3 linked regions of the Drosophila melanogaster genome follow. The protein of the gene in region 2 interacts with the protein of the main gene of each other region in a pairwise test. Each region holds a gene or a part of one and is shown on either strand. Other genes may lie near its edges. The genes, in order: Dcps, Rgl and CG42342.

Region 1 (4,319 bases), on a different chromosome or scaffold from region 2:
TTATAGTTTCTTCACTATTTAGAACGCTTCCCAACTGGACTGATTTAAAGACCTACAGTCAGAAGTCGCGCCACAACCGAAAACTGCATCGCGGAAGCTTTGAGCCGTCGGAGGAGGAGAGCCCGTTGCAGGTTCAGCAGCGCAACATCCGCGAGGCTGAAATGCTGACCAGTAATTTAGGCGAGGGTGGGATCACCCAACAAGAGATTTTGGTCGAGATCAGTGTGCTTAAGGAGCTGGCCATACTGCAGGAGAGCATGGAGTGGTTTTCGTGCCGAGTGTCGGAATTTGCCAACGACTTACGCCGGCCGTTGGTAAACGGACTTAACGCCGTTCCAGCTGAGTGCGGCGCCGACATTGCTGTGAAGGATGGGACGATCAAAGTGATGACTAATCTGGCTTTGGAGTTTGATGAGCTGGCGAACACCTGCCTGCTGGTATTGCATCTGGAGGTGCGCGTTCAATGCTTCCACTATCTGCGCTCGAAGTCGAGTGTAAGGACCAACAGCTATGTGGGCTCCAAGGATGATATCTTGGAGCCCGACCGCCAGGTGCAAGTTCTGACCAAACGACTGTCTGAGATGGATGAGGCGTTTAGTGCCACTCTACATCCGAGGAAGACCAGGGTAAGTTGAATATTCGTCTCCAGTTGCATTTTGCTCGAACGTATTCTTCTCTAGTACATTTTCGAGGGTCTGGCGCACTTGGCATCGCGCATTCTTATCCAGGCCTCCAATTATCTGGAGCACATAGATCAAATAACCGTGCAGCGCATGTGCAGGAACGCGATTGCCCTGCAGCAAACATTGAGTAACATAACTGCCTCCAGGGAAGTGGCTTTGGATCAGGCGAGACACTTCTATGAGCTGCTTTGCATGGAGCCAGACGTAAGAGTGATTGGCCCAAGTTTTGTAATTCACCTTTTTACTTAGAAACACTTTGCACTTACCCACAGGAAATACTCAATGCGTTGCTGGAGCGGGGCACTCAGTTCTCGGAAATGCAGCTGCTCAATGCCTTGCAGTTGTCCTGCAAGTCCTTCGGCATAACCGACGCCAATCTCCTCGCTTCCTATCAGCAGAAGCTGTCGGACATACTAGGCGCCAAGCCCTCGAAGGGAGTAGTTGTGTAGTTAGCGTGGCAGGCGGCGGGTAAAACCAATTTTAATATCCATACTTTTGTTTACATCGGCTGCAGGTGTAAGTGCAAATTGTATGTTAGTGTTAAGCTCAAAATAATTGCGAATGTTCTGAACATGATTGGCGAGCACTTAGTGTTGTAGCCGTTTGTAAAGATACATATTCTAAAGATCATTAACAGTACTTCAATGGCCTATACACAATAAATGAGAATTCAACAACGATGTTTTGACTGTATTAATTTGCTGCATCTAGTGTATCTAATTTTAACATTTTTTCAACTCAACCGGTTGCTAAACCGTTTCAGCAATGTTATTTAACAGGGTTTGAGTGCTCGCTAAATGGACTTACGAAATGAGTATGGAATTTTCGTGCAGCCCAGTCATGGTCACGCTGCCTCTCTGAAAAGCCGCAAGAAAATAAAAATAAATATATCTTTCTAGCTATTATTATTGTTGTTATTATTAACAAAAATGTCGGAAACAGTTGATAGCACAGAGGTAAAGTCGCCGTCGTACGACTTATCCAAGTTCCAACTGAAGCGAATCCTAACCAACAACAGCGTTAGGAAAAGTATATCCCTGCTTGGCACTTTTCCGGATTTAGGAACCGATGATGCCATTGTTGTTTTCGAGAAAAATGGTATAAAAGCGTAAATGAAAGCAACTAATGTTCGCTACAGTATAATCCTTACTAACCGCAGCGTACCGGGAAAGCGATGTGGCCACGGCGTCATCAGAAGAGTCTCCCAAGAAGCCTAGCTATTTTACCGCGGACCTGAAAGTTGACACTGAGTTTATCAACAATATCTACGGCAGTTTTCAGGTTGTGCCGACCCAGGATTTGTGCAGTAAATATTAGATTCATAATTCATACTGATAAATCATAGATTTTTATCATTCATTTCGCAGGTGTGAAAAGCACAGTCATTTATCCCGCCACCGAGAAGCACATCGAGAAATACTCAGTATCTCAAAAGTATCTCATCCGGGAGACTCCTGATCTCTACCAAAGAATAACTCTTCCATATCTCACCTCAAGTCAATTCTCCCTCGAGTGGGTCTACAACATACTCGAGCATAAGCAGGAGACGGAACGTATCGTGTACGAGGACAGGGATCCAAAGACTGGCTTTATCCTTCTGCCCGATCTCAAATGGGACGGACGCAATGTGGAAACCCTCTATCTGCTGGGAATTGTCCACAAGCGCGACATCAAGTCTCTGCGCGACTTGAATGAAAGTCATCTCGATCTTTTGCGCAACGTGCGCCAAGCGTCGAAGGACGCAATTGCCAAGCTATACGGCATTAATCCCAATCAGCTGCGCATGTACTTTCATTACCAGCCGTCCTTCTATCACCTCCACGTGCACATCAATCCAGTACGGAACGATGCACCGGGCATATGGTGCGAGAAGTCCCACATGCTGGACACGGTGATCAACAACTTGGAGCTGATGCCGGACTACTATCAGCGAGCCACCTTGCCGTTTGTCCTGTACGAAGGCAATAAGCTGTTGGATCTCTATGAGCAGGAGCTACCCATTAGAGCGCTGACAGTATCGAGCGACGATAAGGAGCTCCCTGACTCAGACTCTTTGAACGTCGCTCCACCGGAAGGCTTTAGCGATGAGGAGCCGGAGGAGAGGCAGTGCAAGCGCATAAAGTTGGGCTCGCCGGAGCCCAAGGAGGCCGAGTCCGCTGTTCAGGCGTGTGCCTAAACTGGTATTACTTAATGAGAAAGCTAACCCTAGATGTTGCCTATCAAAAATACATCCTACTTATGATCATTCAATTCAAAATAAAGTTATTTTCAAAAATTTCGTTTGAGAGCACTTGCTGGAAGTACACATTATTAATTGTTATAAAATATTCAGAATATTTCTTTTCGTTTCACACATTTAAAAACAGTCGCTTAAGAGAAAACGATTGAATTCTGAGTACCTCGTGAATAGTTGTGATGCCTCACTGCTTTGACATCATTGTAATGGGGTTCGCAAATAAGAATCATATATACACTATTTAACTTCATTTATTTTTTCATATACAAAAATCACGTCTGATCGCTATGACCGCAAAATTACAAGAGCGAAAGAAAGAATACAGTTCAGTTCAATTAGCATCGATATATAAAATGTTAATCCGCTGTTAAGACAGCTGAAGCACCGGGTGACTCCGCTCATAATCCGTACATGCCGCCCGCCAATGCGTCGTCCAGCATGAAGGCTCCTTGTGATTCTTGATCCGTGTGTTGATCATAATTATGTTGAAATCGGAAGTGGACAAAGCTTTGTGATTGACCTCTTTTGAATGCCAGATTTCGTCTTTAATGTAACCACTCTGACTAGCGAGTCCGATCCAGGGTGCAGTTCGACGACTCGGCCTATAGTCCATTTAGCTGGTGGTAGATTATCATCCTTTATAATGACTAAGTCGTTGATGTTAAGATTATCTTTGATTTGGCACCACTTTGGCCGAGTTTGCAAGTGTGATAACCAATCACGAGACCATTGAGACCAGAATTGTCGCGTCATGTGTTGTTGTGCGAGAAATAGTTCACGCAAAGGCTTATTATTCGGCCGACCTTGTGGCGGTGCCAGTAGTGCGTCACCAATTAAGAAATGTGCTGGAGTTAGTACTTCTAAATCGTCAGGGTCGGCGGTTAGCGGGCAAAGTGGACGTGAGTTCAAACATGCTTCAATCCTGATCAAAACTGTAGTAAGCTCCTCATACGTCTGCTTGTGGCTGCCGACGATCCGTTTAAGATGATGCTTCATTGCTTTCACGTTTGCCTCCCAGATGCCACCAAAATTGGGAGAATATGGAGGTGTGAAATGCCACCTTGTCCCATGTTGACATGTCGATTCGTTTAGGGCTGCCTTGCAAGTGATGGGCTGGTTAAGCGATGTACTCGCGCCAACAAAATTTGTGCCGTTATCACTATACATATGTTGAACTTGTCCTCGACGTCCGGTGAATCGCGTAAATGCTTGCAGGAAGTGCTCTGTTGAAAGTCCAGTGACGGCTTCCAAGTGGACCGCCTTGGTTGCTAAGCATATAAAAATGGCTACATAGCCTTTGTAGGTGGTTGATCCTCGTACACGCGCGGCTTGAAGTTCAATCGCACCAGTGTAGTCAACTCCTGTTGTAATGAACGGACGAGTTGGGGGGTTGACTCGAT
Region 2 (5,831 bases):
GACCCATATATGTATGTATGTACATATTCATATATGTTTGTAAATATGCGCAATGCGCATACTTATAGAAATCTTTTTGTTTGAGATTCCTTCGTCTAATCAATATGCACATATATGTATTGCATTCGATTCGTACCAAGCCCCAGAACCTAAATACACTCATTTCATTCACGATTATTATTACAGCGAATGCCAAACGAGACCGAATGAAACAGAACACAACTCGGCGAGGAAATGACGATTTGCATACGGTTGATATTTTACCTTTTGAGTTCGAATGATTCATCAGAAAATACCCAGCCCGTGCAAAAAAAACTGCGGCAGAAATAAAGCTCATTAAGTAATGAAATAATATAGTATTATAATGCCAGACGACGGGCAATTGTCAAACATATTCGTGTTTGTGTATACAAGGCACCCAATTATAAAGAAATAACATCCAAGTATGAGGGGGCGCCTGATTGGTCGGCCCACATCATCATCTGTCTATATATAAAGCAGGTGACCTTTCCTCCAGAAAAGCGTGTGGGTGGCGTTTTCTGCTTTTCCGCCCAGGGGGGGTTTCTCTCAATTACAGATCTTCGCAAAAATAGCCAGAAACCAAAACAAAGGAGAGTCGAACCGCAACATCAAAGCGAAATGGTACTGCATTTGCATTTGGGGTGAATTTATCAACAAACAGCCATACAGCTGAGGTCACAATATTGATAGATTAAAAGTGAAAATACATCTAAGGAAATGGATCAATATTTAAATGATGAAACATGACTCTGAGATAGTAAAATAGTATTCCGTTTGAGATATTCGATTTATAGGTAAAAGTATTGCAATTTGTATCGATGTAAAAACAGTTCTTTGAGAATTTCCTAGTTCTTGGCGGCAATAGATTAGGTGTCCGAAATAAGCAATACATTTCGCTTGTCTTGAAAAATGAAAAGGCATTTATTTTGACCGCAATTGTAGACACAAATCTCTATTTTTAAATCGACGACCCCTGGCACGAGTTTTGTGAATTGCAGCAACAGAAGCAGCGGCAAAAAAAAAACAACGCAAAACAAAATTGAAAACGCCAAGGGAAAAAAACGACTGAAACTAAACACCAGTCTCTCCCCCTTCCCTCTGTCATCCCTGAATGACTGACTGACTAAATGACTGACTGGCTAAATGACTCTGACTGACTGTCAGTTACATGCGACTGCATCCGACGCAGTCAACTTGACAACATTTGCTGCTCCCTCGGTGCACATAAAAAAAAATGAAGGGAATTATGATCAAATTTAATTGCATCGGCCTACTAACACAGGTCCATCAAGATTTTACATCGTTTGTGTTTATGAGAAATAATAGAACAGGCATTACTTGGCATTCGATATTCTATCCCTAATGTCTCCTTTTCGCTATATTACAACATAACGAATATCAACCGATGCCACATCCTGTTGCAATTTTTAATTTCAAAAACCATAATTCATATCCGAATAAAACTTTTATTTAACGTGTATATGTACATATGTATCTGTCTCTACTGCAGAGCAGCTGTCCCGCTCTTTCGGCTATTATCAAACCACATCCGTTGGGCAGCAGCAGAGATGATGTGCAAACAATACAAAAACATATCAACCTAAGCTAAAGTTTGAGCCACTGAGCATAGCTCCCCACGTAAATTATTTTTTTTATGCATTCCCCCATCATTCGCCAGTGGGTAAAGGAAGTGGGGGGCGGAGCTTTTGTTTTGCATACAATGGGAGCTGATAAATGATTTCTAGGGGCACTCCGCATAAATGGATGATAAAGAAACGAAAATATAACTGGGACTGCAACTGAAATGATCTCAAACTGATTCACCTTTAAATTCATAGCTTTAATTCGTTATCTTTCACCTGCGAAACAAATTATATACATCACTTAAGAATACCCTACACCATTTGTTCCCAAGCATAAGTATACCAATTTTGAATGCTTTTTAATTAGCATATAAATTCTCGAAACTCCCAAAACAAAGCTTCTCCAAGCTTGGCAGTTCCCATATGATTCATTTATAACTTGTAAAAAATTCCCGACTTTTATCGATTCCTATTCCTTCCCCACCAAAAGAAGGTGTTTTATTTCTGGACTCCACTTAGGCGTAAAGTTTCCATACCATTGCATTTTTGCCCATAATCATTGTTGACATTTCCTTGTGAATCGACACCAAGACACTACAGTAATCCCTCTCCACACAAAACCAGATCAAGTACACAGCAACTAGTTTTCAGGGTTGAAAATTCTCGGACAAAAAAAGGTGCGCATTATCGATAATTATCCATGTCGTTGATTTAAGGGCGAGGGTCAATAGTAATAAAATTCAAGCCATTAATGTTTTTATCTTATCAGGAGTTTGTTACCGATGTATTGCTTATTGCAGAAATATGATGTACTTGTTTTAAATATATTGTTAAAAAAAAACATTTCAATGTATCAACGTTCGAGTGACCACTGTAAGGGCAGGATAAGAACCAATAGATCTAAAGTGCGCTCCTTTCTAATCCGGCCTGATGGATTGCGTTGTTTTTTTTTACCATTTGAGATTGGCTTTTGTTCCTTGAGAAATGTTGCTGAGATTTCCACGGATGCACTGCTTGGGTTTTCCTATCCGTTATCCTCTTCTCGTCGGTTCGCTTTAATTTACACGTCTCCTTTAATGGCTTCTGGTGTTTTATTTTTACACCCAAGTGCAGTTCAATGGGTGGTGGGGGTGTTGTATAAGTAAAAGGCAAGTAAAATCGATATTCCTGCTGCTCTTTTTTTGTACTGGGCTTCTGTGTTCTGGCCGCTATACCGTTGTTCAGCTTCCTGGGAACGATGAGTCAACGGGACATAGAGAAACACACCCAGTAGCAGTAGAGGTGGGGGGGTTAATATTGGTATTTGTTCTCCGGTTAGTGGTAAGTGGTGAATCCTTGGTCCGCGAAGAAGGGTTCGTTGCACTACGTCTATGCGTCTGCCTGGCAATCTCCTCTTTGCTCTCGTGCTTTAGCACGTCTTCCCTACTATTTATTTGTTTTCACTTTTATCTCTTTTCCTTTTGCTAATGCTGCACTCGCACACACGTAAACGGCAATTTTCGGGATACCGCTTGCATTTTCATTCGCTTGGCTGAAAATCTCAACATGAGATATCCATGTTATTACAAAAACATTATACAAAATTCACATTCGGGGGTTTCTCTACTTGGAAAAGGGGAGCGTAGGGGGCGCAGAGCGTAAAACGCGCGCGAGACACACACACAAAGCTCTCGGTAGAGAGACACGCGACGCAACCGCCGCCAACAACAGTCGAAGACGAACTCTGCCCGCTTAGAACAAACGACCGCCCGAAACCCCATCGTCTGTATCCAACTCTCGCTTACTCTCTCCCACACGCTCTCTCTGTCGGGGATCCACTCTCTGTCATTAAGAACGCAAGCATTTTCGGGGGATGTTCTTACTCGACGGATGTAACTGTAGCATCCCCGTTCTCTCAATTGCACTCTCTCGTTCGCTTTTCTCAGGTACTCAAGTTTTCGACCGTGGGAACTTCTAGCAAAACACCCACTATGGTTTTACACCTTGCGTGAAGGTATATTGGTTGCATCGAACAAGTTCAAAAACACAGTTAACATTAACAATGCATTCCAATATTGGTTCCGAATTTAAAACACCTACATATTCTCACAATTTATAGTCAATAAACTTAAAATAGAACTTTTTCCAGATAAACTGTCAATTTACCATTGAATTGGTAATTGATTTTATTTCTTTTGCACTATGGTAACTTGGCCTTTTAAATCAATTTAAACAAATTTCTTTAAAACTTCTTCCTAGTGACTGTTGACACGCTAAATATAAATAAATAAGTTTCTTAAAATAAATACACGGTATATATATGTCGTATCAGAACAAACATAAAAATCTTACTTGCTCTGGCCATTCGCGCTCTGTTTATGTTTTTTCTGATGAGCAATTGACTGTTGGCTTGTTTGTTTCTAATCAGAACTCTCTCTCAACTCTCTCTGTCAATTTTAGTATTTTTTGGTATATATTTACACTGACCCCCACAATAGCATTTGTCTTCATTATAGCTTCACATTTATCAATGGAATTTATGGGCCTCCTAAACCTGTAGGATTTTATTCCAAATTTTTGATTAATGCCAACAAAGAAATTTAAATAATTTTCTTCCATGTTTTGTTTGGCTTTTTAGGCTATCATTTGACCAACCGTTCAAACATGTGAACTGGAATGACATAATTATGGAAATGGGAATACCTGAGTGTTGTCTGGTATTTGGTAACGATTTAAAGAAAGCTGGCGGGGAAATCAATAAGCAGAAATATTAATAAAACGTGCATTTACGTAAGCGCCAATCAAACGATGCCTGCTGTTTTGTTTGTTGCTTGTAGACATTGGATAAATATTCGAGACCATGAGCACGTCAATTGATCAATTAGCGAATGCAACAAGTTTCAATACAAAAAAAGGCACTGATATTTGTTATGCACTTGGTGATGCTGATAACGAATTTTATATAAAGCTAGAAAAAGAGATCAATTAAAGATTGACCCTCAATGTGCTTCATGATGTTGGTGTCAAAATAATACGGTTTAAAGCTATAGTAAATTTATTTAAAATTATTGCTGTTCTCCCTATCAGAAAGTATGGAGAATAATATTTTAAAACGTAAACGTCATAATATATATTTAGATGAAAAATGTTGTGCTCCAAAACTTTAGTCATACGAAAAAACCGCTCTTGTGTTGTGATCGTGATAATAAATATCACAAAAATTATAAATTAAATTATAAATTATAAATTTCTTTAATTCGATTTTTCGGCACCACTCTAATCAAAATGTTGCAACATATTTTTCATTAACTTAGTCTACGGACTATTTGACCAAATAATTAGCAGACCTGGGCAAAAAGCCTCCACACAAAGTTCGGTGCTCTGCGAGATACTTTCAAAATGACTTTCTATGCATTTCCCTGTTACTTTCTACGCTTGCTATATACTAGAGTACATGAACAAGATAATGGTTTAGCTACTCACCAAACTGTCGGCCACATTTTGACTCATTATAGTCTGCAGCGTTGACGATGGCCAGATGCTGCAATTACTTCAAGGTGCGTGCTGCTCAAAATCTGGTGCGATGCAATTTCCGATGGTGGTGTTGTAGATGCTGATGATAATTGTGATGATGACTGGTATCTGTCGGATACGCGCATTTTGGCTTGGCACAGCTAACGACGAACAATGACTCGAAAGCACACACTCTTTGGGCGGACACGTGTAACGCGTTTACTTATTTATTTTCATTTGGGTTGTGCAATTCACTCGGCCAAGCGGATGTATCTGCAAGATACGCGACCAAACTTGCAATCGGATCGACACAAATTTCAAGTTTTCTTTTCCATTTCGTTACCAAACTGCAAGAAAGCGACAAAGCATTCGGGTGAAAACCATTTCAACTCAATGGAAAGTGCGACAGTAGCAGTAGCCCGTAAATGAAACGGTCAATAAAAGTTGAAAAAAATATACGAAGTTATAAAAAATGAACCACAACCGAACGCGCACACATTGTTGGCATTCCAGAGGCTTAGAAGCCAAGACCGCGGAGACCAAGCGCCATCGAACGCCCAGCAACAACTAACCCGCAAAGTCACTGGAATAATATGAATGCGGTTTGAACGTGGCGCGCAACTGATTTACGATATTCGCTACGGAGCTACAGTGGGACGGGTTTCGAGTGTTTCGGAAAAATCTAATTTTCCGTATTGTATGGCTGCGTTCAAATATGGTGATTTAAGGCCCAAC
Region 3 (5,803 bases), on a different chromosome or scaffold from region 2:
CAGTCGTAAAAATAGTGACTTTGTTTTGATAATGATAAGATATACATATGTGTTTGAAATATGTCACCAGTTTCGATGGACACGATTGAGTGCAGCTAGATTTTGATGACTATCACATTGATTTTTAAGTTGCATATTAAATGTTTTCTCTTTTGTTTAACAAGGGAGTAAATATATTTTACTACTCGTAAAGAAAGACATTACCTCGTATTTACGGTGGAATACGAAAATAAACTTGATTCCGTTGGTAGATAACTTAACTTTGAGTACATATGTATGGTTCTGTGTTTTTGTCTGCCATTTGTTGCAACAATAGAACTCGTGGATAACTCACCCTCTTTGAGCGTGTCGTTGATCTCGGAGAAGGTCAGATCGTCGAAGGTGCGTACATCGAATCCGAATCCCTGCAGCGTCGCCTCCATGTCATCGCGATCCCGTTCGGTGCCCACGCGCTGCTTCTGTCCCTTGACATCCTTGTGGTTCAGGATTAGCGCAATGCCCGCTCGCGCGCAATTCTCGTATGTGTCCTCGTTGGTGGGGCGCGAGATTATGATCCTTTTGAGGTCCAGCTCCGATGTGGGCGTATGGGCGATCTTGGTGGCATCCGCCTTGTCCTTCTTGTGCTTGTTCTTCTGCCCGAAGAGCGAGAAGTCGGTGTCGTCCATTTCTGACCGTCCGCGCGCTTTGGCAGCAACCTGTGACTAAGCGCGATTGGAAGTTTTCACCTATCAAACGACAAAAAAAAGCTCTCGCTCCCGTTCGCCTAACATCTTATCTAATCAATGCAGCCGTCTTATCACCTTGAGCTTGCTGGGGTGGATTCTTCTCTCGCTCGCCGCGGTATTTTTCGGGCTCTTGCCCAACGTTGATTAGCCTGCTCGAGGGGAAGTTACGTTTATTGGTAGCAAAATACAATTCCCTTTGCCATTGCACCAGACAATTTGATTTCCCCGACGGGTTCACGCCCACAAAAGTGGGCGCTCGTCAGGGAAATTGGCAACTTCCGGCGAAAGTGTCGCTGCTACTGGGGATTTCTTAATGTGTTTTCAATAAAATTCAGATGCGCAAAAAAGCGGCAATGGGCGGCAAACTTTGCCACGCAATTCAAAATTTCACGCACACAAAGTAACGGAAACCGGAAATGAGTATGGCGTCCTTAAGTCGAAGGAGTACCGTTATAAAGTGTACCGCAGACTGAGAGAAAGTTCTATACGATTTAGTAATTTATTGTGTAATATTCGAACAGTTAGCTACGGGCATTTTAATGTGATATAAAAACAATATGTCAAAGTTAAGTTAGTTTCAATTTCACTTTAAATTACAACAATATAAAGAAATCTTTTATTGCGGTGCAGCCAAAAAATGTACCTCAGCGCTTAAGAGAGAGAAACATAAGAGAGAGCTGGAAACTTGTGGCGCATAACAACAATTGCGGCTAATTAATAAAGCTGCTCCTACGACCCTGATTGGATGCCAATTATAATTGATATGTAATTACAATTAGCGACATCAATATTTCTGTCAGCTGAAGAGCCAAAAAAAGAAAATGAAGAACAGTGGGTGGGGGAGCAGGAAAGTTGTTTAGCCGGCTTTTCAGAACCAGAACAATCGCCTTTGATTCTCGAGGTGCCTTCCACCGAAAGCAGATGTTGCCCCTCCAGTGACCTGAAATCTGCTCTTATCTTGCAGCTCCAAAAGGTGAAGAGAAAGGAGAGATTTATTGGGGCGGGATTCCGAAAATGCACTTGCTGCTGAATGCTCAAAATGAAATGATTTATCTGACGCACTTTTATGGAATAACAATGCAAAGTTTCACCTGAAATTTATGCATTCCCGTTTCTTATCTTTTTAAATTGTAGGTTCCCGGGGATGTAAATATGTATGTACATACATACATACATTGAAATTTGACACCTAAAGTTTTTTTAATACCTTTGTTATTAACTACATTAAAACAGTTTAATTTACAGAAATAATGTAGTAAACTTATTACATAGGTATATTGAAATCAATCAATTTATTTACAAAACTCGCAATTAGTGCTTCTGCTTATATTTGTAGTAATTAAGTAATTTAAACACTATAACTACGTAATTCTGAGGTCATTTCTGTAAGTGCAGTATACTTACTCCCACCGGTTGATCGTGTTTTTTTGCTGCTTTCTCCGTCTTTCTTCTTTTTTTACCTTACAACAATAATTATTTGTAACAAATTTAGTTGTTTTTTTCAAGAAATGACAAATTACTTTTACTATTTTAATAAATTGCTGCCAATGAATTTCCAATTAGACATATAACATATATAAACAGTTCCTTAAACTCTTAGCCCACTCTTTTAGTTGGCTCTCTTAAGTTCGATACGAACTCGAACTTGCTCGCTTCGAACATGAACCCGCTCGAGCTGAAACCGAATTCAAAACCAAAACAGCGACGCCAAAAGCGTTGTATATGTTGCCCAGTGCGGACGTGTTTACGTGTCGGACAAAAATTCGGGAAATCGGTAAAATTCGCATTTCTGAGGGTCTCGGGCTCCTATCCTCCGGGCGTGTGTTCTTCCCCCGCAACCTTTCCGTTGTCCTTTACATAAGGATAAGCGGGCGATAGAAGAAAATAGAAAGAAGGAGCCAGAATGTTTTGAGCAACAAAAACAACTTCAGTGTTGAATGTGTGCCAAGTGCAAGGAGTTGTAATTTATAGTTGCCGAAATTAAATTATGTTAAGTGCCCCACCAAATCAGTAAGAAGGTGCAGTGAAAAGGAAGCGGCACGAAACAGCAAGCGTGGAAAAGGCGAACATAAAGAGTTAGCGGAGCGCAAAAAGTGGAAAAAAGTATGGTACGTAGAAGGTGAACCAAACAAACTGTTTGATTATAATAAGCGGGGTGCATTAAATCTCATTTAAGACGTGTGCGTGCGCTTTGTATGCAAAAAGGTTGACAAACAAAAAACAACAACAAATTAGGGTGGCTGGTCCGGAGGACAAAAGAAACAAAAACCTTTTTTTTCGGGGCTGCTTCCAAAAGCAAACCACACACACACACGTACATATGTACGTACATGCAGAGAGGGAAAACATAGCCACACTGCGAAATGAAAACGAAATCAAATCAAAAGCAGAAAACCAACAGGCCGCCGAAAGGAACAAAAACACGAAAAAAAATGCTCGGCTAGCTTTTAGGCGAATGCCCTCGCAAAGCGCATAAAAAATAGATTAACAGGCTTGGCAGAAACAAAATAGAACTAAGAAAAAAAACATTGAAATTCTGACGTCGTCACAGGCTAAGCCTCTGCAGCCAAAAAAATAACAGCAGCATAAAAAACCATAACAACAAGTTGGGATGCCAAAAGTTGGGTGCTACGGTTATTGGAATACCGGGTACTTGGATTTCATTAGGCTCTGTGTCAAAAAAAAAACTTTGGGTATTTGGGTGCCATAATATTCAATTAAGTTTTTTAAGTGGATTCCTATGCACCTGTTTGCTGATCTCTTGGATAAAATACCTTTAAAAGGTGTATATGAAATGAAACTTTATTATGAATTTCTATGCAATTTCTATGTTAGCTAATTAAGACTTCTACTTAGGAGTTCTGCGAGTTGTTAACGTGAAACTCGATAACTTAAGACTTAAGCAAGATACAGTCACCAATTGGATTAGCTTATATGTGATAATAACGTGATGTATAAACATCTTCGATAGGTATTCTTCTTTACCGATTTATCTTTGCCCATGTATATAGACTGAAATCCAAGGTATACCGACATTAAGTTGGCAACCAACCAGCTGGCAAGGTAAAAGGCGGCGAAGATTTGTGGCTTCTTTTTTTTGCGCCCCTGCAAATGAAGTTGCAGTGGACATCTAATGAACCCGCAGCTGAATGCGACGCAGGCCCTTAAATTGCGAGCACACCTGAAATATTCAAGATACTTTATGGGAATGCCGCTGGTGGGCCAGAGGCACGCCAGTCATGCCGCACGATGCTCCAGCTGCCCCATCCTCCAAAGTGGAGGTGTAAATTCTGTAGCAGAAACATTCATTTATGAGCGGGCTAAGGTTGCGCTTTTGGCTGCTTATCCCTCGACCCTTTTCCAGTCGGGGCATTCATTCCCCTGGGGCACCTTTTGGCCAAAATCCCTGGAGGGGTGCTCTTACCCGGTTTTATGAACTTCAGCTGAGCAATTATTAAATATGCAAGCTTTTGTAGCTTTAAGATAAGATTGGGTGGCATTTGATGGGTGACTTCTCCTTATTTTTCGGCGAGCCCTTTGATGTTCTTACTTTTCGTCTTCTGTTGAGGGAGGGTGGGTGGCGAAAAATGCGGGAGACAGGCAAACACAAACATTAATTGTAACTGTAAATGGTGTGAAATGAGCGAGTGAGTGAATGGCTGAATGACGACATGAATGGATGCTTAGGAGCGGCTTGAACGAATGAATGAATGACTCTCGAGTGGAGCTGCCAGTGGCAGCAGTGATGCTCTCGCCTCTTTTCAGCACTGAAAATTGCGTTAAGTGGTTGTCATCGTTGGCCAGCGACAATTTTGATGAACTCAACAAAAACACTTGACAGCAGAGCCGAAGATTTTGGAACTGGGGACCAGGCCATGCAATAAACGAAATTATGACGCTAAATTGAACACTAAACGCCCAGTGAGCCGGGGCGAGAGATATATAGTAGAATCAAAGAATAGTCCAGGAAAATACATCAGTAGTTTGGGGGGCGAAAAGGGGTTGGACTGGACTGGAATGGCAACGGGATGGGGCATTCACTTTCAAAAGCATCAGCAGCAGCATCCACTCCGCTTCGAACCGTCCACATTTAACGCGCGAATGAACAGCAATCAGCCGAAATGGGGGATTCGTCGAAAAAAGGGGGCGGGTGAAGGGACTGGTGGGCATGGCTCTGGACCTGGACCGACCGGGAATCGGATGGGCACTCGGACTATTGCTAGCGTGCCAGCCGCCAGTCCGGAGGGTTCATTCAACAATAAAAGTCATGATAGACATGGCAATACGGAAATGCTATTTTTGGGGCTGCCACTGCCTTCACACGGGAATGGTCCACGTCCGCCCTGCGAGCGGAAGGTGAGAATTAAGAAATTAGCGTACACCCAGTATCCACTATCCAGTACCCTCTAACCATTACCCATTACCCATTACCCAGTCGGATGCCCCATTCCCCATCCCCCATCCAGGCATCGAGTGGCGAGTTGGAGCTGCCGGCTGGGAGCCGATGGAGCTGTTCGTAAATTGCCCGCCGCCGCTCACTTTAACTTAATTATATAATTTGTGAGACATCAGCGCTAAAAAAGGGAGACAGGCAGACCAACCAAAAAGGAAACATGACAAAGTTTGTTAGATTCGAAACACTGAAGTTGATATGCCCTTAAAAATGTATATGTTTGTTGTTCAAAATTTAAAACTAGAGAATTTATTGGGTAGAAAGGTTCTTTCAATTATACTGTTTAAAATGTATAAATAACTTGCACGAAAAACTATAGGAAAGTAGCTTATAAACACCTATACTATTTCATTTAGAGATCTATAGATAGATGCAATATTTTATGCATGTTTTGTTTATTTAGTTATTCCATATTTATCATAATTTTCTTACATCTTTAATGCTTCTATTCGGCAGCATATTCATTTATACCGGTTTGGAAATTAGTTCAGGGTAACGATAAATATCGTCTTCATAAGATGAGATGTTCAAATTATTGTTCATGCAAGTAGTCAAACATTTAATCTGTCCAAATATGAAATAATACCTGGAAAATCGGGTTTTGAAATGAGCACAACCTCATTGA

The links.
Region 1: the proteins of Rgl (region 2) and Dcps interact in a two-hybrid assay, tested with the Drosophila melanogaster proteins (one large-scale study listed by BioGRID).
Region 3: the proteins of Rgl (region 2) and CG42342 interact in a two-hybrid assay, tested with the Drosophila melanogaster proteins (one large-scale study listed by BioGRID).

Annotation. Positions count from the first base shown.
Region 1 is NT_033777.3:5,751,971-5,756,289, reverse strand, and holds Dcps (decapping enzyme, scavenger), read left to right. Parts: upstream 1-1,515; 5' UTR 1,516-1,612; coding exon 1,613-1,781; intron 1,782-1,842; coding exon 1,843-1,989; intron 1,990-2,050; coding exon 2,051-2,859; 3' UTR 2,860-2,972; downstream 2,973-4,319. Other genes in the region: Sec8 (secretory 8), read left to right, coding at 23-626, 681-887, 956-1,132.
Region 2 is NT_037436.4:13,916,633-13,922,463, forward strand, and holds the start of Rgl (Ral guanine nucleotide dissociation stimulator-like), read right to left. Parts: upstream 3,334-5,831; 5' UTR 2,562-3,333; coding exon 2,559-2,561; intron 1-2,558.
Region 3 is NT_033777.3:16,500,339-16,506,141, forward strand, and holds the start of CG42342 (uncharacterized protein), read left to right. Parts: upstream 1-2,431; 5' UTR 2,432-2,833; intron 2,834-5,803. Other genes in the region: Decay (death executioner caspase related to Apopain/Yama), read right to left, coding at 335-665.